Anolis sagrei: one gene and its partners. The protein of the gene in region 4 interacts with the protein of the main gene of each other region in a pairwise test. Links are inferred from orthologs where the notes say so. Each region holds a gene or a part of one and is shown on either strand. Other genes may lie near its edges. The genes, in order: STAT1, STX11, BEND7 and EIF1AD.

Region 1 (7,989 bases), on a different chromosome or scaffold from region 4:
AGGATTTTTTATATTTTAATATTATATTAATATTATAGTATTAAAATATAAACATTTATTATTATTATTATTATTATTATTATTATTATTATTATTGCCACAGGACTGTTTTGTTGTTTGTCTAGATTACAAAATTGATCCAGGATTACAATCACCCATGAAAAGAATAATTGACTCAGAAACATGCATCAGTAGTAGTATCTAACACAGTAGTATCTAACACAGTAGTATATAACACAGAATATCAAGGCAGAAAATTTCATGATATCTGCTTTAACTGGCATATCGGAGTCCACACTGCCATATATTCCAGTTCAATGTGGGATTTTATTCTTCTGTGTAGAAGGGGACTAAGCTCCAGCTCCTCATGCAGGGACATGAGAGAAGCTTCCTACAAGGATGCTAAAAACATCAAAACATCCAGGCATCCCCTGGGCAACGTCCTTGCAGACAGTCAATTTTCTACACCAGAAGCGACTTGCAGTTTCTCAAGTTGCTTCTGACATGACAATATATATATATATATAAATGGCAGGGAACAGAAAGTGGTCAAGACTATATATTCAGAGGTGGACATCGGAATAGATCTTGGGTTGATGTGAGTTTTCGGGGATATCTGGCCATGTTCCAGAAGCATTCCCTCCTGAAGTTTCACTCACATCTATGGTAGGCATCCTCAGAGGTTGAGGGTTCTGTTGGAAACTAGGCAAGTGAGGTTTATGTATCTGTGGAATAATGTCCAGGGTGGGAAAAAGAACTCTTGTCTGCTTGTGGTAAGTGTGAATGTTGCAACTGGCTACCTTGATTCACACTGAATGGCCCTGCAGTTTCAAAGTCTGGCTGCTTCCTGACTGGTGTATCCTTTGTTGGGAGGTGTTAGCTGGCTCTGATTGTTTCATATCTGGAATTCCAATTTTCTGGGTGTTTTCTGGATTCCCCTTGGCAGGAAGCAGCCAGGCATTGAAGCTGCAAGGCTATTAAATGCTAACCAAGATAGCCAATTGCAAGATTCACACTTGCCTCCAACAGACAAGAGTCCTTTCTCCCACCCTGGATATTCCACAGATATATAAACCCAACTTGCCTAGTTTCCAACAAACCTCGCAACCTCTGAGGATGCCAGCCATAGATGTACGCAAAATGTCAATAGGGAATGCTTCGGGAACATGGCCAAACAGCCTGGAAAAATGACAGCAACCAGTGATTCTGGCCATGAAAGCCTTTGGCAACACATGGAACAGTTCTTGCCAAGAGTAACCTGTTTTGAGATTATCCAAAGGTCTGGCTGCACTTGAAGGCAAATAACAAGAAAAGGGAAGGAGGGGAAAGACATATAGGTGGCACCTTTAAGATCAAATGATTCTTATCTGACACATGTCCTTCATGAATATCCAAAAAATCAGTCTTAAAGATTCTGCCGTGTACCAGTTGTTGTACTCCTCCCTTTCTCCTTTTAGGCTACTTCTCTGAAAACAATAACTGATGCTTTGACAAGGCTGCTCAACCCCAGAATGCCACACCTGCCATCTGCATGAAATATGAACATTAAAAATAAATGTACTCCAAAAAGTTGGATTTGGCAATTACATGCCCCTGGAACACAAGAAAGTAGAACATACGAAAGGCTGGGATAAGCAGGTAATCTTAAATGGGCGACCAGATGTCATGAAAAGACAGCTCTACAATGTATTGTCGAAGGCTTTCATGGCCGGAATCACTGGGTTGTTGTAGGTTTTTTGGGGCTATATGGCCATGTTCTAGAGGCATTCTCTCCTGACGTTTTGCCTGCATCTATGGCAAGCATCCTCAGAGGTCTCACTACCTCTGCGGATGCTTGCCATAGATGCAGGCGAAACGTCAGGAGAGAATGCCTCTAGAACATGGCCACATAGCCCAAAAACCCTACAACAACCCAGACATCTCTACATTCATTAAGAACTAACAGATCTCTGATGCCTCTGCAACACTCCATACAGCATACAGATTATCTGCTTTGAGCCTAGCTGCTTTGAACTGGATTACATGGCAATGTAGACTCAAATAATTCAGTTCAAAGCAGACAATGTGGATGATCTGCATTGATAACCTGGATTTCATATATCAGTGTAGATGGGACCAGGAGCCCCTTCCACACAGCTGAATAAAATCCCATATTATCTGCTTTGAACTGGAATATATGGCAGTGTAGACTCAGATAATCCAGTTCAAAGCAGACAATGTGGATGAACTGCACTGATAACTTGGATTTTATATATCAGTGTAGATGGGACCAGGAGCCCCTTCTACGCAGCTGAATACAATCCCATATTATCTGCTTTGAACTGGAATATATGGCAGTGTAGACTCAAATAATCCAGTTCAAAGCAGACAATGTGGATGACCTGCATTGATAACCTGGATTTTATGTATCAGTGTAGATGGGACCAGAAGCCCCTTCTACACAGCTGAATAAAGTCCCACATTATCTGCTTTGAACTGGGATATGTGGCAGTGTGGACTCAGATAACCCAGTTCAAAGAATATATTGTGGGATGTTTCTGTCTTGATATTCTGGGTTATGTAGCTGTATGGAAGGGCCCTGAGGGAAGTCTAAGGGCCCTTCCACACAGCCACATTATCTGCTTTGAACTGGGAGTGCATCTATACTGCAGGATGGATGCAGTTTGACTTCACTTTCCATGGCTCAAGGAATGCCTGGATTTGTAGTTTGGTGAGGCACCAGCACTCTTTGGCAGAGAAAGCTTTAGACCTTGCAAAACTACAACTCCCCTGATTCCAGAGAACTGAGCCTGGTCAGTTAGAGAAGTGCCAAACTGCATTATTTTTCTCCAGTGTAGATGCACCCCATAGCAATTAAAGGAGAGGGGATCCAATTGCATTAATTCAAAAGGTAGGTGCAGCACTCACCTCACAGTTTTCCCACTCCACAATCGGACACACAACCACAGCAGCACTGCCTCTCCTTTCCTTCCTTCTCTGCTTCTGTAGAAAACGAAACTGCCTCTGACCAGGAAATAGCAAACTGCGAGAGGCAGGCGACCAATCAAAAAGAGGCTGGCAGCTAGGCTCAACCAATCCGGAAAGACCGCCGCCTCTTGATGGAATACCGCTGTTCCTGCAACTTCTCCTCCTCCCTCTTCTGGCTTGTCATTGATGCAAACAGCAGAGTTGTCAGTTTAATTTAGTTTTATTACCTTTTTTTGGCCAAAATCCTTCCATCCGCGCCTGAAAACATAGACATTTATGGGTTGCTGTGAGTTTTCCAGGCTGTAAAGCCATGTTCCAGAAGCATTCTCTCCTGACGTTTCGCCTGCATCTAAAGCAGGCAACCTCAGATATTGTGAGGTCTGTTGGAAACTAGAACAAGTGATATATATCTGTGGAATAATGTCCAGGGTGTGCAGGACATTCCACAGATATATAAACCCCATTTTTCTAGTTTCCAACAGCCTTTGAGGATGCAGGTGAAACGTCAGGAGAGAATGCTTCTGGAACATGGCCTTACAGCCCAGAAAACTCACAGCAATCCACTTATTCTGGCCATGAAAGCCTTTGAGAATGAATACATTTATTTTTATTTCCAGGGTGGATTTCCCTTATGTTTAGTCAAAAATTACCATGATGAGGATTTCTTATATTGTAATATTATGTTAATATTATATTATTAAAATATAAACATTAATAATAACAACAACAACAACAACATGGGACCTTCAATGTCGCATGCATGGGAACAGATACAAAACAGCAACTTTCTGTTGGAATGCAACTCCCATGACTTCCATGATTCAATGCTATGGAGTCCTGGGGTCTGTAGATCTTGTAAAATTACAACTCTCGTGAATCCATAGTATTGCTCCATCATGGCAGTTAAAGTGATGTCAGAGTAGTATACACCCAACAACAACAACAACAACAACAACAACAGGATTTAAAGATCAAAGTGCAAAGACTCTGGCACAAGCCAGTCAAGGTGGTCCCAGTGGTGATCGGCACACTGGGTGCAGTGCCTTGGCCTGTGCTTAAACACAATTGGCGCCAATACATCACACAGTATTAGACACTTGGGAAGTGTCCGATAATAATAGGATTTAAAGATCAAAGTGCAAAGACTCTGGCACAAGCCAGTCAAGGTGGTCCCAGTGGTGATCGGCACACTGGGTGCAGTGCCTAAAGACCTTGGCCTGCACTTAAAAACAATTGGCGCCGATACATCACACAGTATAAAGACTCTGGCACAAGCCAGTCAAGGTGGTCCCAGTGGTGATTGGCACACTGGGTGCAGTGCCTAAAGACCTTGGCCTGCACTTAAATACAATCTGTGCCGATACATCACACAGTCCTAGACACTTGGGAAGTGTCCAACGTGTGATCCAATACAACAGCCAGCAGAGTGTCTGCTGTGCACTCATCTTGTTGTGTTTCAAATAAAATAACAACAACAATAACAACAACAACAACAAATCTGGGCTACCAAACAGCAAGAAATTCACCAAAAATGTCCCACTTGTTGTATATGGATGATCTACAGCTTTAAGGAAAATCAGAAATTGAGATCCAGTCACTGACCAACACAATCAGAATTGGCACACTGGGTGCAGTGCCTAAAGACCTTGGCCTGTGCTTAAACACAATTGGCGCTGACTAATAATAATAATAATTATAATAATTATAATAATAATTATTATTTATCTGCCTCTTCTTAAGGCTCGAACTCGCATTGAGGAGCTGTCAAGGTAAACATTTGCAAACCGCAACAAGTCTTCCTGGCCTGACAACAAAAATAATTCTCCTGATTTTCCTGGAAAGACAAAAAAAAAGCTAAGAGCGCGGGGGGGGGGGGGGGGAGAGCAGTGGCCGCAAGGGCAGGGGAGGGAGGTGGCGCGTTCCAGGGAACAGCCGCCGCCACGTGGTTTCTGGGAAACAGAGGCTTGTAGAGGAAAAGCCTCAGGCAGAGAAAGCGAAAGTTAAAAAGGATCCCCGGGAGGGGAGGGGGAGGGAGGGAGGATCCACCTGCAGATCTGGCTCGGAGGAAGCGGAAGGGTTCTAGGCTCAGGCTTCTAGGCTCAGGGCCCTTCCACACAGCCCTATACCCCAGAATATCAAGGCAGAAAATCCCACAATATCTGCTTTGGACTGGGTTATCTGATCCCACACTGCAATATAGTCCAGTTCAAAGCAGATAATGTGGGATTTTATTCAGCTGTGTGGAAGGGGCACCAGACAGGCCCTCTATCCCAGGATCTGATCCCAGGTTTTCTGCTTTAAACTGGATTATATGAGTCCACACTGCCAGATAATCTGGGATAAACTGAAAACCTGGGATCAGGTCCTGGGATAGAGGGCCTGTCTGGGAGGGCCTTAAGATATTGTAACCTTATATTAGAGAGTACCCATGAGTTTCCTTTTTAAAAAAAATATATTAAAATCTTCGGCTAGAGGGGCAATAATAATACCTTTATAAATAATGGTATTATTATTTTACTGACACAAAAATACAGTATGTCACAGCAAATGAGATCTATATCCTGGATTTCGTATCAAACACTTCCCAAGCGTCTAGGACTGTGTATTATTATTATTATTATTATTATTATTATTATTATTATTATTTGAAACAGTACAAGATGAGTCCACAGCGGACACTCTGCTGGCTGTTGTATTGGATCACACGTCGGACACTTCCCAAGTGTCTAGGACTGTGTGATGTATCGGCAAATAATGCGTGCAGATCCCAGTAAGGTGGCCTTCTGCAGCTGGCAGATGGTAATTTTGTCAGCATCAATTGTGTTTAAGTACAGGCTAAGGTCTTTAGGCACTGCACCCAATGTGCCGATCACCACTGGGACCACCTTGACTGGCTTGTGCCAGAGTCTTTGCAGTTCAATCTTTAAATCTTCATATTGTGTCAGCCTTTCCAGTTGCTTCTCTTAAATCCGGCTGTCGTCTGGGATTGCAACATCCACACTCTGTTTTGTAACATGATCGTGAGGTCAGGAGTCCTGTGCTCCAAAACTCTGTCTGAATTCAGAAGTCCCAAAAGCGTTTGGTGTGTTCATTTTCTATAACTTTTTTCCGGCCTGTGATTCCACCAGTTCTTTGTCACAGGCAGATGGTATTTGTGGCACAAGTTCGAATGAATCATCTACGCAACGGTGTTATGCCTCTACTTGTAGTGATCTTCTTGCATCAGCTGAAGATGTGATCTATTGTTTCCTCTGCTTCCTTGCAGAGTCTACACTTGGGATCTGTCGTTGACTTTATTATTATTATTATTATTATTATTATTATTATTAGAAATGCAACAAGATTTGTACACAGCAAACAAGATCGCTGGCTGTTGTATTATTATTATCATCATCATCATCATCATCATCATCATAGCCAATGCATCAGTGACTTAAGTCTTTCTAGCATAAATCTATTGTGTCCATGGGATAGGATTTGCACACAGGAGAAGCAAACAGTTCAATGATTACACTGTTTGGAAAAAAAATGAAAAATGTTCTGTTCTTGGTTTGAAAGCATTATTTCCTGTTTACTTGTGCAGAACTTACTTTGGGCTCTTCCACACCTCCATATAACCCAGAATATCAAGGCAGAAAATCCCACAATATCTGCTTTGAACTGGGTTATCAGAATCCACACTTCCATATATTCCAGCTCAAAGCAGATAATGGGGTTTTTTATTCAGCTGTGTGGAAGGGGGCTTTGAAAGTAGTTGCTATACCCGAGAAACTTCATTTTTGTGGCTGCCACAGACAATGTTGAATTGGCTGAGACCGTATGAGATATTCATTGGAAAACTATAGCAAAATGTACTGCAGGATGTCCTGCAAAAACAAATAACAAACCTTTTCCATGTTTTTTTTATCATAATTCCAATTAGGAAATAACATTTATAACCCAGGGAAAAAATTGTTACATTATGTGTCATTTTGCAAGGATGGAGCTGCCGCTGGAGAACACGGGATCGTGCAGACAAAATGTAATCCTCTGAGCATGTGCAGAATGCCTTCCCTTGCCAGCATACACACAAACAGTGGCGTGCAAGGTAAACTTTAATAATTTGCATTGGTTGAGCTAATATACATTGCACCCTGTATCATTAGATGTCAGGGTAATAATAAAAGCAAAATCAATATAAGTAGATCTTTAAAAACGTAGAACCAAAGAAAGCAGTGTGAAGAGACTAAAAGCACACTAAACAATTTGACAAGTTACGTGAGCTGCATTTCAACACCAATTAGTACCAATGGTCTGGGTGATGTGAATCACCATCCAAAACATGTGGAGGGCTATCCTGTCTCTGGGTGCATCTAGACTGTAGAATTAGTGCAGTTTGATACCACTTTAACCGCCATGGCTCAGTGCTATGGAATCATAAAAGTTGTGGTTTTAACCAAGTCCTGCCAAGAAGTCCTTGAGCCTCACCAAACTACAACTCCCAGATTCCAAGGCATTGAGCCAAAGCTGTTCAAGTAGTGCCAAAGTGTATTAATTCTACAGTGCAGATTCACCCTCTGATGTAAATAATCAGTCTGTCCCTTCCTGGTCCTATGGTAAGGATTCAAAATTGCAGCCAGAAATATGTCTAGTGACAGCATGGAGATTTATCACATGTTCAAAGCTATCATTGAACATTTAAAGACTAGGGAGTGCTCAAAATACTTTCACAAAGTCTTTGTGATATGTCAGTTTTTATTTATCTTCATATGCCAAGACACTTGATGAAACACCAGGAACATCCTCTTATTCACACAAAAATGTCCAGCAGAAACATTAATACCAACTCCATTTCAGATATCAACTGATTTCATTTACTTATCTGTTGTCCCTTCGACACTACCAGATAATCCAGATTATCTGCTTTGAACTGGATTATACGACATTGCCATATGATCCTGTTCAAAGCAGATAATCTAGATTTTATATGGCACTGTAGAAGGGGCCAGAGAGCAGCATATAATTTGGCTAACGAAGATTGTA
Region 2 (7,442 bases), on a different chromosome or scaffold from region 4:
GAGCTGACAGACGGGAGCTCACCCTGCTCCCTGGATTCGAAACGCCAACCTTTTGGTCAGCAGTCCTACTGGCACAAGGGTTTAACCCATTGCACCACTGGGGACTCCTTTCTTACTAAGTCAACAAAACACTATCTTGTTTAAGGGCATGCAGCTGTGACCCTTCCAGATGTTGTTGCACTATAACTCTCACCAGCCCTAGCTAAGCAGACACAATGACAGCTGCAGTGCGAAAACATATACAGGTTGATACTTGAAAATAAATATGTAATTCCCCAAAGAAGAGCTTTTTACATCTCTCTAGCCATTATTACAACTACAGGAGTCCTTCTCTATCCCCTTACCTTCTTAGGCTCAGTTGGTAGTGACAAGGGAGACAGCTCATCCCTGCAAGTGGAAGAATTGTTGTGTTACCAGCCTTTGCATATTGAACAAGACTGGGCTTTTAATTCTGTGTGATGGTGGTGTTAAAATTTAAGGGGTTTGTATAGAATTGATTTAAGGCATTTTTATATTTTTAATTATTTCAATGTGTAAAGCATGTGTTTTTTTTTTTAAAAAAATCTTATATTTATACTTCAGATGACTTTGTTACTGGGTTTACTCTGTGCTATTTTAATATGTTGTGAGCTGCCTTCAGTCCAAGACACCATATGAATCAGTCATGGGCCAACTTGGGCCCTCCTTCCAGGTCAGTGTTTCTCAACCTTTCTAATGCTGTGACCCCTTAAATTCAGTTCCTCATGTTGTGGTGACCTGACCCCAACCTGAAAATTATTTTTCTTGCTACCTCATAACTGTAATTTTGCTAGAGTTGTGAATCGTAATGTAAATATCTGATATTGCAGGATGTATTTTCATTCACTGGACCAAATTTGGCACAAATACCCAATACGCCCAAATTTGAATACTGGTGGAGTTGGGGATGGGGGAATGATTTTGTCATTTGGGAGTTGTAGTTACTGGGATGTATAGTTCACCTACAATCACAGAGCATTCTGAACTACACCAACGAGGAAATTGAACCAAACTTGGCACATAGAACTCCCATGAACAAGAAAATATACTGGAAGGTTTAGTGGGCATTGACATTGAGTGTTGGAGTTGTAGTTCACCTACATCAAGAGATCACTGTGGTCTCAAACAATGTTGGATCTGGACTAAACTTTGTATGAATACTTAATATGCCCAAATGTGAACACTGGTGGAGTTTGGGGGGAAACAGACCTTGACATTTGGGGATTGTAGTTGCTGGGATTTATAGTTCACCTACCATCAAAGAGCATTCTGAACCCTACTAACAATAGAATTGGACCGAACTTCCTACACAGAACCCCCATGACCAACAGAAAATACTGTATTTTCTGATGGCCTTTGGTGACCCTTCTGACATCCCCTTGGGATCCTCCCAGGGGTCCCGACCCCCAGGTTGAGAAACACTGCTCCAGGTATTTGGACTTCAACTCCCACCATTCCTACCATCCTGAGTCCCTTTCCTTTTCTCCCTCAGCCGCTTAAGCTGGTGGAAGTTAAACTCCAAAACACCTGGAGCAGCGTTTCTCAACCTGGAGGGCCCAAGTTGGCCCATGCCTGTTCTATAGCAAAGATGCACCCCAAGTTTTCTGTACATTGAACCACCAGAAAGAAAAGCTCTCACTGTCTCAATGTTAGAGGATTTTGTAATCCCAGATAAGGATTGCTCAACCAACCCATCAAAATAATAATAATAATAATAATAATAATAATAATAATAATAATACTGTCAGAGTTTTGGAGCACAATACTCCTGACCTCATGATCGTGTTAAAAAACAAAGTATGGATTGTTGATGTTGCAATCCCAGGTGACAGCAGGATTGAAGAGAAACAACTGGAAAAGCTGACACGATATGAGGATTTACAGATTGAACTGCAAAGACTCTGGCACAAGTCAGAAAAGGTGGTCCCAGTGGTGATCGGCACACTGGGTGCAGTGCCTAAAGACCTTGGCCTGCACTTAAATACAATCGACGCTGACAAAATTACCATCTGCCAGCTGCAAAAGGCCACTGTACTGGGATCTGCACGCATTATTCACCGATACATCAAACAGTCCTAGATACTTGGGAAGTGTCCGACGTGTGATCCAATACAACAGCCAGCAGAATGATCTTGTCTGCTGTGGACTCATCTTGTTGTGTTTCTAATAATAATAATAATAATAATAATAATAATAAGTAAAGGTAAAAGTTTTCCCTTGACATTAAGTCTAGTTGTGTTTGACTTGGGGTGTGTGTGTGTGTGTGTGTGCGCTCATCTCTACGACCTTAATAAGTCATTTCTATTGGCATATTATGTTATTACATAAACATTTTTATTTGATGGTGTCATGCGTCTTGTATTTTATTTTGTTTTATTGTAATTGCTTGGGCTTGGCCCCATGTTAGCCGCCCCAAGTCCCTTCGGGGAAATGGAGGCGGGGTACAAATAAAGTTATTATTATTATTATTATTATTATTATTATTATTTATTAAGCCAAAGAGCCGGCATTGTCTGTAGACACCTCCAAGGTCATGTGGCTGGCATGTCTGCATGGAGCGGCATTGCCTTCCCACCAGAGTGGTATCTATCGATCTACTCACATTTGCATGTTTTCAAACTGTTAGGTTGGCAGAAGCTGGGGCTAACAGCGGGAGCTCACCCCGAATTCAAACCGCCGACCTTTTGGTCAGCAAGTTCAACAGCTCAGTGGTTTAACCCACTGAGCCACCGAGGGGCTCCTAATAATAATAATAATAATAATAATAATAATAATAATAGCAACTCATAGAACTTTACCCACTAAAACTTCCCTTCTAACTCAGCCAGAAGTTTGAACCAAAGAGAAAGCCACCCTCATCTCCATGAAAGGTAGAGCAAGGAAAGAAGAAGAAGAAGAAGAAGAAGAAGAAACCCGAAGGCAAGGACTCACCTCCTGCGGCTCGGCTCCCAGAGGCGCGTTTGACCGGGCTGCCAACCCCGTTTCCCTCCCGCGTCCCCAGCCAGGCTCGCTTCGCCCCGCCCCCGGCTCCTCCTCCGCGAAGCCCATTGGTCGCCGCAGATCCCCTTCTCCATGGCCCCGCCCACTCCGAAGGGGATGAGGCAGGTGATGGGAAGCAGGCAGAGAGAAGGCTGACAGGTCTGTCCGGCTGCCTGGGAAAGAACTGTGCCTCCAGGGGACTTCTCCAGGATGGTGATGCCGGTGCCTGCCCACATTCCTGGAAGTTTTGCCCCAAGCATCAGTGCATAGCCAGGGGTTGACTACAGCCAGGTGTATCTATCTACATACTGCTCAATTCAGCTTGACACCACTTCAACTACCATGGCTCAGTGCTATGGAGTCATGGGGTTTGTAGTTGGTTGACTACAGGGGTATCGATCTTGATCAATGCTAGGGAGTCATGGGATTTGTAGTTGGCTGACTACATGGATATTATCTATCTTGATCAATGCTCGGGAGTCATGGGATTTGTAGTTGGTTGACTACAGGGGTATCTATCTTGATCAATCCTAGGGAATCATGGGATTTGTAGTTGGCTGACTACAGGGGTATCTATATTGCTCAATGCTATGGAGTCATGAGATTTGTAGTTGGCTGACTACAGGGGTATGTTGATCTATGTATATTGATCAATGTAGCTTGACACCACTTCCATCTGCCATGGCTTAATGCTATAGAATCCTTGGATCTGAAGTTTGGTGAGACACTGGCACTCTTATGCAAACTTTCTAAAACTACAACTCCCATAATTTCATAGCCCTGAGCCATTCCAGTTAAAGGACTGTCAAACTACATTATCTGGTCAGTGTAGATCAGTGGTTCCCAACCTTCTTTTGACCAAGAACCACTTTATGATTTATTTACTTACTTCATTTCTACCCTGCCTTTCTCAACCCTAGAGGGGACTCAAGGCAGCTTACAAGTTCGGCAAAAATTTGATGCCACACAGGTAAACAATAAATCACATCTCATAAAAATGTAAACAATCTAAGCATATAAACAATTAAATTAAAACTCGTAACAATCTATCAAGTAGATTGACCAGGGACCACTTTGATCAGGGACCACTCTCCAACATTAGTACCAAAAGGGTTACGAAACAGTTTTTGGTCAACTTTAGATTTGGTTTAGTTATTTGGGGTGCATATTCAGAAAATTGCATTGGATAGACGACATCAGCTCTGGTTTCCAGTACAAAACATATGCCATCCAGTAGTCACTATCTGCTTGCCCACAGAAAACCATATTTAATAATCTAGGGATGATATGGTAGTAGTAATCTTTTGTGGGTAATCAGCCTCTCCACTCCCGGCATCCCTGTTGCCTCAGCACTATAAGAGGGTTTCGCAAGACCAGTCGCTGTCATTGCCGCATGGTTACAAAGCAATAGTGTAGTAATGGTGAGGCCGCAGAAGACCATATTTTTGTTCTTGCAGACCACTGGTGGTCCATGGACCACAGGTTGGGAACCACTGGTGTAGATGCACTCCTAGAGCCTGTCTTCTAGCATAGTGGCTTTCAACCTTTGTTTCTGCAGATGTTTGGGGCATCATCTCCCAGAAGCCACAGTCAGCTTACAATCCTTAGGACCCTTCCAGACAGGCCCAAAATGTGGGACTTGTCTTGGTTTTTCCTGAGGCATCCAAATGACACCTCAGATAAAAGCAAATTAATCTGGAGAAAACTGGGATTTTCCTAATATGTTCTGTATTTTCCAACTTCCCTCCCACCCAGCTACCCCCCCCCCCAACACATCATTTTCACTTGTCAGGAGTACTCTGCAGAGGGGCCTGCATTGCCAGCAGACCCTTCAGGTACGGGTTCTTTGGGGAAATGGAGGGCTGGAGGGGAACTGAATGCCATCCCAAGTCAACCATTGGTTGACCCGGAATGGCATTTAGCCACCACCTAAAGAAAACCCCAGGGTTTGGGTTGGGGGTGGGGACACAAACCCAGGAAGAAGTTGGTTTAAATAACCCACTTCCTCTCAGATTTTGCCCTGTCTGGAAGGGCCATTAGGCAATTGTCAGGAATTTTGGGAACTGAAGTCCAAAATACCCGAAGGACCAAAGGTACCTTTGAAGCCACTAAAACCTAGGGCAAAGCTGTATGCATTTTGAGCATCAATAGACTAAGCAAACAAAATGGTCTGCTAGGTTGTATTTCTAAGAAAATAGCATCAGTCCAAAACACATAAAAGAGCAAAGGCTGGGAAGCATTGTCCTAGGAGGTACTGAAGTACATTACCATCAGCATTTGCCTATGTTTTATTGGACAGGATCGGGATTTATAGTGACTTTAAAAGATTCGAGAGCTGGGCAAAAACTAACAAAATGAATTTCAACAAAGAGAAATGTAGGATACTACACTTAGGGAGAAAAAAAATGAAATGCTCAGATACAGGATGGGTGAGGCCTCACTCAGCAACAGTCCATGTGCAAAAAATCTTGGAGCCTTAGTAGATCACAAGTTGAACATGAACCAACAATGTTATGCAGCAATTAAAAGGCCAAGGGAAGCAATGGTGCCTCTCTATTCTGCTTTGGTTAAACCTGACCTGGAAAACTGTGTCCAATTCAGTACCACAATTCAAGAGGGCTATTGACAGGCTGAAATGTGTCTAGAGGAGGGCAACTAAAATGATCAAAGGCCTGGAAACCATGCGCTATGAGGAATGGTTTAAAGAGCTGGGTATGTTTAGCCTGCAGAGGAGAAAGTTGAGAGGTGACATGATTACCATGTTTAAATAATTAAAAGGATGTCATAAGGAAGAGAGTGTAGACTTGTTTTTTGCTGACCTGAAGAACAATTGGTTCAAATTACAGGATAGGAGATTCCACCTAAACATTAGGAAGAACTCCCTGAACCTGAGAGCTGTTCAACAGTGGAAGTTTTTGCTTGGAGTCTGGGGGAAGCTCTTTTGAAGTCTTTTAAACAGAGGCCAGAAGACCATTGCCGGGGGTGCTTTGATTGTGCTTTTTCTACATGCAGGGGGTTGGATTGAATAACCCCTGGCCTCTTCCAACTCTTTGATTCTACCAGAACCTTCCAGCCAACACAGCTACAATCCATAAAAAACATGCTCCCAATCATTCACATATCCACCCTTTCTTTTTTAACAGCTGTTGTTTGTTTGAAGAAATGGGGCCATTTTTCTGCCTGAGATTGAGTAGCAAATGCCACCCCACCTCCAGGTCAAATTGCATAGTACTACTAGTAAATTATTTTTGCCTATGGAGCAGGAAATCCGTAGCCACCTCTTTTCATCTCTAGCAATAAAGATCCAGCGGCATCAAGTAAAATCATGAAGAAATGAGCCACCCTTCCAGAATAAACAAAATGTTCCATCTAGGAAAGCTGCCGCACCCTGCCTAAGTGCAGGGCCAGAGCTGATGCTCAGCAAAAAAAATATCTGAACTTTAAATTTGGGTTGGGTGTTGTATTTCATTTTTGACAGCTTTATGAAACAACAAAAACAAATTACCAGGAACAGACCAGAAGGTCTTAATCCCAGCATGTGCTTTTAAGAAGCTCAAGTAATGGGAAAGGTATCCTCTCAGGTCCTGAAATGACCCATTCTTGAGGGATGCATCAAAATGTGCCCTCTGCTCACTGCACTGCTGTGTTCATTTTACTTGATTTTTAGGGACCATGCGGCCCATCCCACTCTGAGGTTTTCTCCCATCTGGAGCACTAATGGGTTCAGTATTTCAAGCGGGACAGGGAGGACAATGAAATCCATTTTCTCAAGCCCAGTTGCACATGCCTGAGTTTGGATCCAGCCCCAAGTCATTTATGGGAACCCTAAGATGAACCATCACTAAGGTGTAAAATACATTGATTCTTACAATTGCACTGTTAATTTATTTTATTTTTCTTCTAGATCTGCATTTCTCAACCTGAGGATCAGGACCCCTGGGGGGTCATGAGGGTGTGTCAGAGAGGTCACCAAAGACCATCAGAAAACACAGTATTTTCTGTTGGTAATGGGGGTTATGTGTGGGAAGTTTGGTCCAGTTCTATCATTGGTGGGGTTCAGAATGCTCTTTGATGGTAGGCGAACTATAAATCCCAGAAACGGCAATTCCCAAATGTCAAGATCTGTTTCCCCCCAAACTCCACCAGTGTTCACATTTGGGCATATTAAGTATTCGTACAAAGTTTAGTCCAGATCCACCATTGTTTGAGTCCACAGTGATCTCTAGATGTAGGTGAGCTACAACTCCAATGCTCAAGGTCAATGCCCACCAAACCCTTCCAGTATTTTTTCTTGTTCAAGGGAGTTCTATGTGCCAAGTTTTGTTCAATTCCCTCGTTGGTGTAGTTCAGAATGCTCTTTGATTGTAGGTGAACTATAAATCCCAGCAATTACAACTCCCAAATGACAAAATCAATCCCACCCCCAACCCTACTAGTATTCAAAT
Region 3 (7,054 bases), on a different chromosome or scaffold from region 4:
TTGATTTTATTGTTGCTGATGTTTTAATATTGTATATTGCAATTGTGTCCTTGGTGGCATTGAATTCTTGCCTTGTAAACCGCCTCGAGTCGCCGAAAGGCTGAGAGGGGCGGTATAGAAATGTACTAAATAAAATAATTAAATAAATAATAAAATAAATAAAATAAAGTATATACTCAAGTATAAGCCTAGTTTTTCAACCCTTTTTTAGGCTGAAAAAGTCCCATTCGGCTTATACTCGAGTCAAGATTATTTATTATTTAATTCTATTATTATTATTATTTTACTCTATTATTATTACATTTTTTATTTTACTTTATTATTGCTGTTATTATTGCATTTATTATCTTACTCTATTATTACTGTTATTATTACATTTCTATTACTTTGCTCTATTATTATTACATTTATTATTTTACTCTTTTATTACTGAAAGGATGTGCAAACATTTACACTGAAAAAGGTTGGTATCATGGTTTAATCAGAGTCGGACAGTCTTATCTTAAATTACAGTTTTATGTAAATATTCAAAAACATTTAACCATAGATGCAGGCTAAACGTCAGGAGAGAATGCCTCTAGAACAGGGGTCCTCAAACTACGGCCCGGGCGCCGAATGTGGCCCTCCAAGGTCATTTACCTGGCCCTCGCTCAGGGTCAACCTAAGTCTGAAACGACTTGAAAGCACAAAGCAACAACAACCCTACCTCATCAGCCAAAAGCAGGCCAACACTTCCCAATAAAATACTAATAAGTTTATATTTGTTAAAATTGTTTTTCATTTTAATTATTGTATTGTTCTAAAGTGTTTTTGCACTACAAATAAGATACATGCACTTTGCATAGGAATTCATTCATATATTTTTTTTCAAATTATAATCCGGCCCTCCAACAGTTTGAGGGACTATGACCTGGCCCTCTGGTAAAACGTTTGTGGATCCCCTGCTCTAGATCATGGCCATATAGCCCGAAAAAACCTACAACAACCCAACATTTAACCTACTGATGCCTCAGTTAATGAGATAGTATTGGAATCTATTTTTATTTTGGAATTTACCAGTAGCTGCTGTATTTCCCACCTTTGGCTTATACTCAAGTCAATATGTTTTCCCAGTTTTTTGTGGTAAAATTAGGTGCCTCGGCTTATATTTGGGTCGGCTTATACTCGAGTATATACGGTATTACATGTAATATTACTAATAATATTACAATATAATGGTATAGTACAATATAGTAATATTTAGTACTTTTTTTTGTCGTGTCAGGAGCAAGTCGCTTCTGGTGTGAGAGAATTGGCTGTCTGCAAGGACGTTGCCCAGGGGACGCATGGATGATTTGATGTTTTTATCATCCTTGTGGGAGGCTTCTCTCATGTCCTCGCATGAGGAGCTGGAGCTGATAGAGGGAGCTCATCCGCCTCTCCCCGGATTTGAACCTGCGACCTGTCGGTCTTCAGTCCTGTCGGCACAGGGGTTTAACCCACTGCGCCACCGGGGGCTCCATAGTTAATACTGATATTGTACTAGGCCCGTGATGGTGAACCTATGACACGTGTGTCAGCACTGACACGCATGGCTATTTTTCATGACACGCAGCCACATGCGGCCGCATATAGAGAAGTACACCTTATAAGGGCCAATTGAATTCCATCCTTAAATTTGTAAAAGGCTCTACAAATTTAACATCTGCATGTTTGAGCATTGTTCACTCCATAACTCAGCATGGAATATACATTTTTCTTATTTAAACTATAAATATTGCAAAGTTATGGGGTTTTTTTTCTCGAAGTTGACACTCCACCCAAGTTATGGTCAGGTTTTTGGCAGATTTTAACACACCAAGCTCAAAAGGTTGCCCATCACTGTACTAGGCTAATAATATAACATATTGTACGGATATATATCTTGTAAGCTGCTTTGAGTCCCCTTCGGGATGAGAAGGCCGGCATAGAAATGTCGTAAATAAATAAATACATATTGTGGATTATCTGCCTTGATATTCTGGGTTATATGGCTGTGTGGAAGGGCCATAAATATCATTGTCTGGCTGATTTCCTGATTCGCCTCTTCTTGAAAATTGCATTGACCAGGAAGTGCCACCTAACTTTCACATTTGATGTCTTGGCTCCCTGAGAAAAAAGTGCCGATTCTGAATAAATAAAAACACGCAAAAACACCGCTTCCAAGATTATTAAATAGTTAAAATAATCCTAATGAGACTGAAAGGAAGGACACATAGGGCCCTTCCACCCAGAATATCAAGGCAGAAAATCCCACAAAATCTGCTTTGAACTGGGTTATCTGAGTCCACACTGCCATATATCCCAGTTAAAAGCAGATATTGTGGGATTTTATTCAGGTGTAGAAGGGTCACACATCCTGGTTGCCAAACTCTCTGTATCTAGAAGTCTTCCTTGTTTTATTTCCCAGAGACAAAAAGGAAATGTCACACAGACGACGACCTCCCTTCCTCTCTCCCAGTCTCTCTTTCTCCCTTCCCCCCCTTTTTTCCCCTTTTTCCTTACCTTGATTTATCAGTTTAAAGCTTTGGGATTTCCTGCTTCTTTTCCTCTCAGTAAACTCCATAGTGCGAGCAGGAAGGAGGAGGAGGAAGAAGAAAGGCAGGAGGAATCAAGTGCGACGAGGAGGAGGAAGGAGAAAAGAGGAGGAAGGAGGGTCCAGCCGCCAGAGAGAGACCAAGGTCCGTCTCTGTAATGGGCAGAAAGGAAGGAGGAAGGAGGGCCAAGCGGGACAAGTTGGCGGCGGACTTTCCCTCGCCTCGCCTCCCCGCGTCGCCCGCATCCAGCTCCAAACTTTGGAGAGGGGCTGCCGTCCCCTCCGCCTCCTCCTCCTCTGAAGGAGAGAGAGGGAAGGAAGGGAGGAAGGGGGCGGGAGGAAGAGGGAGGCGAATCAATGGGGAGGAGGAGGAGGAGGCGGCGGTGGTGGTGACTGGGCGCCCGGTGCCACCTGCTGGGGAGGAGGAGAGCCGAGGCACACGCCCCGCGGCGGGAGGCTGGGCCCAAAGGCCGCCGCCGCCGCCACTGCCACCTCCAGGCCGGCTGGGCAGCCCACGCCAGGCCGGGGACGCAGCGGCGGCTGTGGGCCCCAAGGGGGAGGAGGAGGAAACAGAGTGGGGGAGATAGAGCAGAGTGTCATGGCTGCTAATAGCGAGGGCGGGCACACCGCTCGCTGCCTGGCTCTCCCTCCCTGTCTGTCCCTGACAGGGGGCGTGGGGTTGCCTCAGAGCCCGGGCCATTGGGAGGGGGAGGGAGCAGCGCCATTTTGTGCCCTCCATCCCATCCACCTGAGGGAGAGAGAGAGAAAGAGAGGGAGGGAAGGAGTGCGGCGCCCTGACGGAGGCCATGGCTCGTGCCCCCTCAGCCGCTTCCTCGCGCCCTTTTTGCCCACTAGGGCAGCGTCGCGCGCCTCAATCCCCGGTACAAGCAAGGCAGGAAGGAAGCAGCCCTCTCTCTCGCCATGAACGGCCTTTCAGTTAGAGTTACCTCAGGCCGCTTCTTGACATCCCCTCGAGCGATTTATGTTAATATTAGCTATTTCTACTGATGTTAAAAACTGATGCCATAAGGAAGAGGGAGCAGGTTTGTTTTCTACTGCCCTGGAGACTTGGATTCGAAGTAGTGCGTTCACATGCCTAGAGGAGGGTGACTAAAATGATCAAGGGTCTGGAGAACAAGCCCAATGAGGAGCGGCTTAAAGAGTTGGGCATGTTTAGCTTGTTGCGCTTGGAGCCTGGAGTAACGTCAATACCTGACAATTTCACCTTATGCCTGGAGGCTCTGCCGAACTGGCTACATGCTAGCAGACTGAAGGTGAACCCGGCAAAGACTGAGATTCTCTGGCATGGCCACCCGATAGGTCCGACCCATCCGTTACCTACCTTCTCTATCTCCATCGCCTACCGTTAAGAGCCTAGGTGTCGTTTTGGATTCGCAGCTGACGATGGAGGCTCAGGTCGCTGCTGCCAGCAAACAGGCCTTTTTCCATCTACGACAGTGTTTCTCAACCTGGGGGTCGGGACCCCTGGGGGGGTCGCGAGGTGGTGTCAAAGGGGTCGCCAAAGACAATGATAAGACACAGTATTTTCTGGTGGTCATTGGGGTTCTGTGTGGGAAGTTTGGCCCAATTCTATCATTGGTGGAGTTCAGAATGCTGAACTATAAATCCCAGCAACTGCAACTCCCAAATGTCAAGGTCTATTTTCCCCAAACCCCACCAGTGTCCACATTTGGGCATATTGAGTATTCGTGCCAAGTTTGGTCCAGATGCATCAGTGCTCTCTGGATGTAGGTGAACTACAACTCTAAAACCCAAGGTCAATACCCACCAAACCCTTCTAGTATTTTCTGTTGGTCATGGGAGCTCTGTGTCCAAATCAGATAAGAGCAAAGGGGATCGCAATCACAAGCAGAAAAGCGCAGGAAGCACGGCGGCACAAGGCACAGAGGCTGTTCCCTTGAAGCCTTAAAACCCAGTATTTGGCACTAGCTCTTAACTCAAAATGCTACTTGTATGTCAGAGTGAAACCATCGGCCCATTTATGGTTCTTAACTCAAAACACTCTTAAGTTGGGGTGCTCTTAAGTAGAGGTTCCACCATATCTATATTTCTATCTCAAGAAAAAGACAAAATAGAACACACTAAATGATATATATCATTCCCAGAACATTGATGATTGTAAACTAGACAGCTTACAATCATCCTGCATTTACTTTGCACCAGCAAATCTAGTGCGCACCTCAATTTCCAAAACCCTGAAACCAAAATAAATTATTGTAATGCACAGCAGCACAAAAGTGCACTCTTTGTAATTTGGCCCCAAAAGGTACACGTTACAGTGGCTGCCTGCTCAAAATTCCTTCTTTCAAAACAAAAGTGTTAGAACACCAAAGCTTTCAGCAATGGAAAAATAAAACCTTGGGGTGCATCTCTGCTGTAGAATGAATCCACTTTGACTTCTCTGGCACCATGCTAAGGAGTCATGGGGGCTATAGTTTGGGCTCTATATTTGGCTGGAGTTGCACTTAAAATGTGCTCACTTACAAACAAATTCAACTTAAGAACAAGCCTTCAGAACCTATCTTGTTTGTAACTTGGGGACTGCCTGTATAAACATATCTACAAATGGGAAGCATCTTAGGACGTGGGTGTATCAGATATATTTTTGTTGCTGGTGGTGTTACTGAAATCGAGGTGCGTCTTACAGTTGAAGAATCATAGAGTTGGAAGAGACCTCATGGGCCATCCCGTCCAACCCCCTGCCAAGAAGCAGGAATATTGCATTCAAAGCACCCCTGACAGGTGGCCATCCAGCCTCTGTTTAAAAGCCTCCAAAGAAGGAGCCTCCACCACACTCTGGTGCAGAGAGTTCCACTGCTGAACGGCTCTCAAAGTCAGGAAGTTCTTCCTCATGTTCAGATGGAATCTCCTTTCTTGTAGTTTGAAGCCATTGTTCCGTGTCCTAGTCTCCAAGGAAGCAGAAAACAAGCTTGCTCCCTCCTCCCTGTATATATTCTGTTTTCTCACCTCAGTTTAAAAGTGGCTTTTAATATTCCAAATTCTTGTGTGACTAGATATGGCGACAAGAGGGAAATATATACATACTTTTAAGCTGTATTGTTTACTCAAAAATGAAATTAAGGCACACAAATTGCCACAACTACAGACAATTAAAACCCGTAAGGAGTTTAATTTTGCAAAGAGAGATTTAAAAGATTAAGATGAGTTCAACATCGGCCATAAAGAAGTCTTATTTGGAGTTTTTGGCTGCAATGTGTCTTGTTTATTGCCTGTCTTTTTCTGATTTCGATCCCAGAAACCTAACCAGGGCCGGCCCTCTTGGGAAGCCGTATAACTTTCTTATGAGTAAATATTCATAGCATTGAGTTGGGCATGAAACATGCCTAACTTGATAGGTCAGGAGATAGGCTAAACAAGCTGACTAGTAGATTTACACTTAATTTATTCCTAAATTCCTCAACATCAACGTCAAGGCAGACCAAGCATATTTTTCTGCCTCAGTCAGAGATGGAAATGACACACCCAGCCATGTCACGATTGTTGTTGTGTACCTTCATTGCCTTACTTACTTATTTAGATGATCCCTCATAGTCCAAGGATGATGGTCTTCCAAGGTCGGTGTTCTGTCGGTGGGTCCGGAGGTGACTCTGAAGCCCAATTCTTGATCTGCATCTTCTTCTTCTTCCAGGTGGAAGGCAGTATCGGTCGGGGTTGGCTTGATGCGCCTTCCTCTTGGCACGTTTCTCTCTTTTGCCCTCCATTCGTGCCTCTTCAAACTCCACAGCACTGCTGGTCACAGCTGACCTCCAGCTGGAGCGCTCAAGGGCCAGGGCTTCCCAGTTCTCGGTGTCCATGCCACAGTTTTAAAGGTTGGCTTTGAACCCATCTTTAAATCTCTTTTCCCGGCCACCAACATTCCATTTTCCGTTCTTGAGTTCGGAGTAGAGCAACTGCTTTGGGAGACGGTGGTCGGGCATCCGGACAATATGGCTGGTCCAGCGGAGTTGATGGCGGAGGACCATCGCTTCAATGCTGGTGGTCTTTGCTTCTTCCAGCACGCTGACATTATCCACTGGTCTTCCCAAGAGATTTGCAGGATTTTCCAGAGACACCGCTGATGGAATCGTTCCAGGAGTTGCATGTGATGTCTGTAGACAATCCACATCTCACAGGCATATAGCAGGGTTAGGAGGACAATAGCTTTATAAACAAGCACCTTGGTATCCCTACGGATGTCCTGGTACTCGAACACTCTCTGCTTCATTCAGAAAAAGGCTGCACTCGCAGAGCTCAGGCGGTGTTGAATTTCAGTGTCAATGTTGACTTTTGTGGAGAGGTGGCTGCCAAGATAGTGGAAATTGTCAACATTTTCTAATGTTACACCATTAAACTTTATTTCTGGCATTTGAGAAGGATTGCTTGGTGACTGCTGGAAGAGCACTTTGGTTTTCTCAATGTTTAATGACAGGCCGAGCTGCTTGTATGCTTCTGCGAAGGTGTTTAGAGTGGCTTGTAGGT
Region 4 (7,575 bases):
TCAAAACTTAAACCCTGTTTATTTGGAAGGCTAATAATAATAATAATAATAATAATAATAATGAAGTCGAAGAACCGGATTCGGGACTCAGCAAGCAATGGGTTAGGAAGGTGATGATTATAATTATTATTATGATTATTAAGTATATATTTCAATTCAATCTTTCCAGTTTTTTTCACATAATAATATTTTTTGAAAATATATTTTAATTGAATATTTCCATTTTTTTCACAGAAATATTATTATTAAATAATGTTATTAAATTTTTATTGAATATTTCCAGATTTTCCTCATAATATTAATAATAATTTAAAATATATTTTAATTTAATATTTCCATTTTTTTCACAGAAATATTATTATTCAATATACTTTATTGAATATCTTCAATTTTTCACACAATATTATTATCAAAATTTTATCGAATATTTCCAGATTTTTCCCATAATAATAATAATAATAATAAAAATATATTTTAATTGAATATTTCCAATTTTTTTCACAGAAATATTATTATTAAATATGTTTTATTGAATATTTTCAATTTTTCACAAATTATTATTAAAATTTTATTGAATATTTCCCGGTTTTCCCCGTAATAATAATAATTTAAAATATATTTTCATTGAATATTTCCAATTTTTTTCACAGAAATATTATTATTATTCAATATATTTTATTGAATATTTCCAAAAAAATTTCACAGAAATATTATTATTATTGTTATTATTCAATACATTTTATTGAATATATTCCATTTTTCACACAATATTATTATTAACATTTTATTCAATATTTCCAGATTTTCCCCAGAATAATAATAATAATAATTTAAAATATATTTTCATTGAATATTTCCATTTTTTTTCACACAAATATTATTAAATATATTTTCATTGAATATTTTCCATTTTTTCACACAATAATCATAATCATAATGAAGCTGAAAAACAGGATTTGAGACCCAGCAAGTTAGGAAGCTGCATTATTGTTGTTGTTGTTGTTGTTGTTGTTATTATTATTATTATTATTATTATTATATTTTCAGGCAACAATAATTATAATTTTAATAATTTTAAATATATTTAAATTGAATGTTTCCAGATTTTTTTCAACACAATTATAATAATAATCATTGAAAATATATTCTTATTTAATATTTCCAATTTTTTTCCACACAATAATAATTATTATTATTATTCATATTTTATACTCTTATTGAATATTTCCAGATTTTTCCCATGCAATTATTATTATTATTATTTCAAATATATTCTTATTTAATATTTCCAAAAATTTTCCACACAATAATTATTATTATTCATATTTTAAATATACTCTTATTGAATATTTCCAGATTTTTTCCCACGCAATAATAATAATTATTTTAATTATATTCTTATTTAATGTTTCCAGATTTTTCAACACAATTATTATTATTATTATAAATATATTTTAATTGAATATTTCCAGATTTTTCCCATGCAATAATAATAATTATTATTTTAATTATATTCTTATTTAATGTTTCCAGATTTTTCCACACATTATTATTATTATTTTAAATATGTTTTAATTGAATACTTCCAGATTTTTCCCACATAATAATAATAATAATAATAATAGATATTTTAAATATATTCTTATTGAATGTTTCCAGATTTTTCCCACGCAATAATAATAATAATTATTATTATTTTAATTATATTCTTATTTAATGTTTCCAGATTTTTCCACACAATTATTATTCTTATTCTTCTTCTTATTATTATTTTAAATATATTTTAATTGAATATTTCCAGATTTTTCCCACGTAATAATAATAATAATAATAATAATAATAGATATTTTAAATATACTCTTATTGAATATTTCCAGATTTTTTTCCCACGCAATAATAATTATTATTATTTCAATTATATTCTTATTTAATGCTTCCAGATTTTTCCACAGAATTATTATTATTGTAAATATATTTTAATTGAATATTTCCAAAAACATTTTTGCACAATCATAATAATAATTACTATTTTAAATATATTTCAATTGGATATTTCCAGATTTTTTTCCCACAGAATAATTTAAAAAATATATTCTGATTGCATCTTTTCAGATTTTTTTCACATAATAATAATAATAATAATAATAATAATAATAATCAGCCTAACGAATACTATACCATTCCCTGATGCGATATTAATATTCAAATGCACACATAGGCTAATTAAGAAAGCTAACTCAATGCAACACTCGCTTTCCTGCACTAAACATGGATTTTTAATATTTATTTAAAGTATTTTTTCGTCCTTTTGGTTTTTTTGGTTTTTTTTTTTTTTTGCTAATTAATGGAGAGTTAATTATATATGCAAAATATTGAAATATTTCTTCCCGGATGAAGAATGCTGAACTATGTTTTCTAGTTGAAATAGAAGGGTTATTTTTCTAGAAACGGAAAAGATTTCCCCCCAAAAGTTGTGGAAGCTTTTGGTTTATTCTGTTACTTCCGTATTTTTCTGCACTAAATAAAATGGACTGTTGTGACCCGACTTTGTGAATATCTATTTGTTATGATCTCCCAATATGCTGATGATAACATTGTCTGTGCTCATTCAGAAGAAGACCTACAAAGTCTGTTATGGAACTCCAATATGCCGATGATAACGTAGTAGCTAACGTAGTAGACTTTGTAGGTATTCTTCTGAATGTGCATAGACTACGTTATCATCGGCATATTGGAGTTCCATAACAGGCATTGAAAGTCTTCTTCTGAATGTGCACAGAGTATGTTATCATTGGCAAATTGGAGTTCTATAACAGACATTGTAGAAGTCCCAATATGCCAATGATAATGTAGTCTGTGCTCATTCAGAAGAAGACCTACAATGTCTGTTATGGAACTCCAATATGCCGATGATAATGTAGTCTGTGCTCATTCAGAAGAACTACAAAGTCTGTTATGGAACTCCAATATGCCGATGATAAAGTAGTCTGTGCGCATTCAGAAGAAGACCTACAATGCCTGTAATGGAGCTCCAATATGCCGATGATATCGTAGTCTGTGCGCATTCAGAAGACTTGCAATGTCTGTTATGGAACTCCAATATGCCGATGATAACGTAGTCTGTGCACATTCAGAAGATTTGCAATGTCTGTTATAGAACTCCAATATGCCAATGATAATGTACTCTGTACATTCAGAACACCTATGTTAGTTATAGAACTCCAGTATGCAGATGATAACGTCGTCTGTGCGTACTCAGAAGACCTACAATGTCTGTTGTGGAACTACAGTATGCCAATGATAACGTACTTTGTGCATTCGGAAGAAGTCCTATGTCAGTTATAGAACTCCAATATGCCAATGATAACATACTCTGTGCATTTGGAAGAAGTCCTATGTGAGATAGAACTCCAGTATGCAGATGATAATGTAGTCTGTGCGCATTCAGAACACTTACAATGTCTGTTATAGAACTCCAATATGCCGATGATAACATAGTCTGTGCGCATTCAGGAGAAGACCTCCAACGTCAGTTATAGAACTGCAATATGCCGATGATAATGGACATTCAAAGTTGGTTATGGAACTACAGTATGCCAATGATAACGTAATCTCTGCACATTCAGAAGAAGACCTACAAAGTCTTGTGGAACTGGTATGCTGATGATAACGTAGTCTGTGCGCATTCAGAAGACTTTCAACTTCTGTTATGGAACTTAAGTATGCATTCAGAATAAGACCTTCAACGTCCGTTATAGACCTTCAATATGCCGATGATAACGTAGCGTGTGCGCACTCAGAAGACCTAAAATGTCTGTTATGGAACTACAGTATGCCAATGATAACGTAATCTGTGCACATTCAGAAAAAGACCTACAATGCCTGTTATGGAACTCCAATATGCCAATGATAATGTACTCTGTGCATTCGGAAGAAGTCCTATGTGAGTTATAGAACTCCAGTATGCAGATGATAATGTAGTCTGTGCGCATTCAGAGGAAGAAAGCCTACAAGCCACTCTCAACACCTTTTGCAGAAGCGTACGAGAAGCTCGGCCTCTCCTTGAACACCAAAGTGTTCTGTTATTACTATTATTATTATTATTATTAGTAGTAGTAGTAGTAGTAGTAGTAGCATTATTAAATAGAATAAAATCTCTATGTATATCCACACACAAACATATACACATATCCATATATAACAACATCTGTTATAGAACTCCAATATGCCAATGATAACGTAGTCTGTGCGCACTCAAAAGACCGACAATGTCAGTTATGGAATTCCAGTATGCTGATGATGACGTAGTCTGCACATTCAGAAGACTTGCAATGTCTGTTATTGAAAGTGTTCTGTTATTATTATTAGTAGTAGTAGCTTTATTAAATAGTATAATATATATATATATATATATATATATATATATATATATATATATATCCACACACACATACATATATCCATATATATATATAATAATTCATTCCAAGTGTCTCTGGAAAGAAGGGCGGAACCTTTGAGTGGCGGAACCTTCCGTCTGCGCCGCGAGGAGCAGGTAGGAACCTTATGGGGACCGGACCGGAAGTGGTGCTTCCCTTCTCGCCGGAAGTAGGAAGTGCCCGCTTCTCGTGCTTCGCGAAGGGGAGAAGAAGGCGCCCGTTCCCAAGCAGGTGGGCCTCGAGGAAGGGAAGAGGGAAGGGAGCGGCGTAGAGGGAAATGTGGGGTTCCCAGGCGGGGAGAGTGGCGTAGAGGGAAATCTAGAGGAGGCCTCGCCTCTCCTGAAGGCCTCGGGGGGGAACCCGGCACTCTGCACATGCTCAGGAACACCCTTTTGGGGCTCAGGAGAGGGAGGAACTCAAGGAACTCCTATTATTAGTATTATTATAACTATTTTAATGGAATATTTCCAGATTTTTTCACACAATAATAGTAATAATAACAATAATATAAATGTTAAATATATTTTGATTATTTCTTGTTTTTCTCCCATAAGATTATTATTATTATTATTATTATTATTATTATTTTAAATAGATTTTAATTGAATATTTCCAGATTTTTTTTCACACAGTATTATTATTATTATTATTGAGGTATATATATTATAATTTAATTCAATATTTCCAGATTTTTACACACAATAACAATAATAATAATACTATAAATGTTATTATTTTAAATAGATTTTAATGGAATATTTCCAGATGTTTTGACACATTATATATATATAGTTATTATATAATTAATATAATTTAATTGAATATTTCCAGATTTTTTCACACAATAATAATAATAATAAATACTATAACTGTTAAATATATTTTATTATTTCCATTTTTTTCCATACGATTATTATTATTTGAAATAATTTCATTGGAATATTTCCAGATTTTTTCACACATAGTTATTATTGTTATTATATAATTAATATAATTTAATTGAATATTTCCAGATTTTTTCACACAATAATAATAATACTATAAATGTTAAATATATTTTGATTATTTCCAGTTTTTTCCCCATAGGATTATTTATTATTTTAAATAGATTTTAATGGAATATTTCCAGATTTTTTTTCACACAATAATAGTAATAAAAATGTTAAATATATTTTATTATTATTACTCTATTTTAATGGAGTATTTCCAGATTTTTTCACACAATAATAATAGTAATAATAATAGTAATATTATTATTATTATTATTATTATTATTATTAACTTTATTTGTACCCCGCGAGCATCTCCCGAAGGACTCGATGCGGCTTACACAGGCCGGAGCCACAACACACAATACAATAGAAAACATAACAAGTAATAACAAAGCAAATCAACATCAAAAGCGAAACAAATCAAAAATTAGCAAACAGCAATAACAATACATCAAGACATATTAAAAATTGGTTCGGCCGGCGAAAGGGTACATGGTTAAAAGTGCTGAAAATGGCAGGAGGGGCATAGGAATTTAAAGTACGGTGTGCAGCAGTATTAATTGTACTAAAGTGCAATTATAATAGTAATAATAATAATAATATAAATGTTAAATATATTTTATTATTATTACTCTATCTTAATGGAGTATTTCCAGATTTTTTCACACAATAGTAATAATAGTAATAGTAATAATAATAATAATAATAATAATAATATAAATGTTAAATATATTTTGATTGATTATTTATAATTTTTATACGATGATTATTATTGTTTTAAATAGATTTTAATTTAATATTTCCAGGTTTTTTCACACAATAATAATAATAATAATAATAAATATATTTTGATTGAATATTTCCAGTTTTTTAATACTATTATTTTAAATAGATTTTAGTTTAATAGTTTAGTTTAATTTAGTTTAGTTTAATATTTTGAGATTTTTCACACACACACTATATGTCTGACTATCTATCTATCTATATGGAATAGATTCAGATTTCTCACACTATATATATACATATATATATATATATATATATATATGGAATATTTCCAGATTTTTTACACAATTATTTTTATCTATCTATTTTTCTAAATGGAATATTTCCAGATTTTTCACACACTATATATATGTATGTATGTAAGTATATATATATGGAATATTTCCAGATTTTTCACACAAGTATATTTATCTATATGTCTATCTATCTATCTAGTATCTATCTATATGGAATAGTTTCAGATTTCTCACACTATATATATATATATATATATATATATGGAATATTTCCAGATTTTTCACACAATTATTTTTATCTATCTACCTACCTACCTACCTACCTACCTATATAAATGGTATATTTCCAGATTTTTCACACACACACTATATATATATATATGTATATATGTATATATGTATGTATATGGAATATTTCCAGATTTTTTCCACACACTATGTATGTATGTATGTATGTATATGGAATATTTCCAGGTTTTTCACACAATTATTAATATATGTGCGTGTGTAATATTTCCAGATTTTTCACACAAGTATTTTTATCTATCTATCTATCTATCTATCTATCTATCTATCTATCTATCTATTTTTATATATATAAATGGAATATTTTCAGATTTTTCACCCCTATTATATGTGTATATATGTGTATGTATATATATATATGTATGTGTGTGTGTGTGTGTGTATGTAGGTATATGTATGTATATATTATATATATATGGAATATTTCCAGATTTTTCACACAAGCATTAATATATATATGTGTGTGTGTGTGTGATATTTCCAGATTTTTTCACACATTATTATGAATATATAAATAATATATTTTATTGAATAGTTCCAGATTCATTTTTTTCACACAATTAGTATCATTATTGATATTTTAAATATATATATTGAATTTAACATTTCCAGATTTTTTTTACATAGTAATAATAATAATTTTACATATAATTTAATAGAATATTTATTATTATTATTATTATTATTATTATTATTATTATTATTATTATTATTTAATCTATGCAAATATATTCCCTCCAGCTTTTCCCGAACTGTGAATGTACCAAGGAGTGAAATCAGCACTGGATCCACCATCCTTGAACTCGGATGACCTTG

The links.
Region 1: the proteins of EIF1AD (region 4) and STAT1 interact in binary tests that used the Homo sapiens proteins (3 or more experiments, as listed by UniProt). The two-hybrid records come from large-scale screens. The link is inferred for Anolis sagrei from reciprocal best matches to the Homo sapiens genes EIF1AD and STAT1.
Region 2: the proteins of EIF1AD (region 4) and STX11 interact in binary tests that used the Homo sapiens proteins (3 or more experiments, as listed by UniProt). The two-hybrid records come from large-scale screens. The link is inferred for Anolis sagrei from reciprocal best matches to the Homo sapiens genes EIF1AD and STX11.
Region 3: the proteins of EIF1AD (region 4) and BEND7 interact in binary tests that used the Homo sapiens proteins (3 or more experiments, as listed by UniProt). The two-hybrid records come from large-scale screens. The link is inferred for Anolis sagrei from reciprocal best matches to the Homo sapiens genes EIF1AD and BEND7.

The regions. Positions count from the first base shown.
Region 1 is NC_090021.1:182,695,482-182,703,470, reverse strand, and holds the start of STAT1 (signal transducer and activator of transcription 1-alpha/beta), read right to left. Parts: upstream 3,012-7,989; 5' UTR 2,908-3,011; intron 1-2,907. UniProt on the Homo sapiens protein: Signal transducer and transcription activator that mediates cellular responses to interferons (IFNs), cytokine KITLG/SCF and other cytokines and other growth factors.
Region 2 is NC_090021.1:76,142,986-76,150,427, forward strand, and holds the start of STX11 (syntaxin-11), read right to left. Parts: upstream 3,005-7,442; 5' UTR 2,950-3,004; intron 1-2,949. UniProt on the Homo sapiens protein: SNARE that acts to regulate protein transport between late endosomes and the trans-Golgi network.
Region 3 is NC_090025.1:92,913,292-92,920,345, forward strand, and holds the start of BEND7 (BEN domain-containing protein 7), read right to left. Parts: upstream 3,004-7,054; 5' UTR 2,585-3,003; coding exon 2,524-2,584; intron 1-2,523.
Region 4 is NC_090032.1:22,011,722-22,019,296, reverse strand, and holds the start of EIF1AD (probable RNA-binding protein EIF1AD), read left to right. Parts: upstream 1-4,571; 5' UTR 4,572-4,670; intron 4,671-7,500; 5' UTR 7,501-7,575.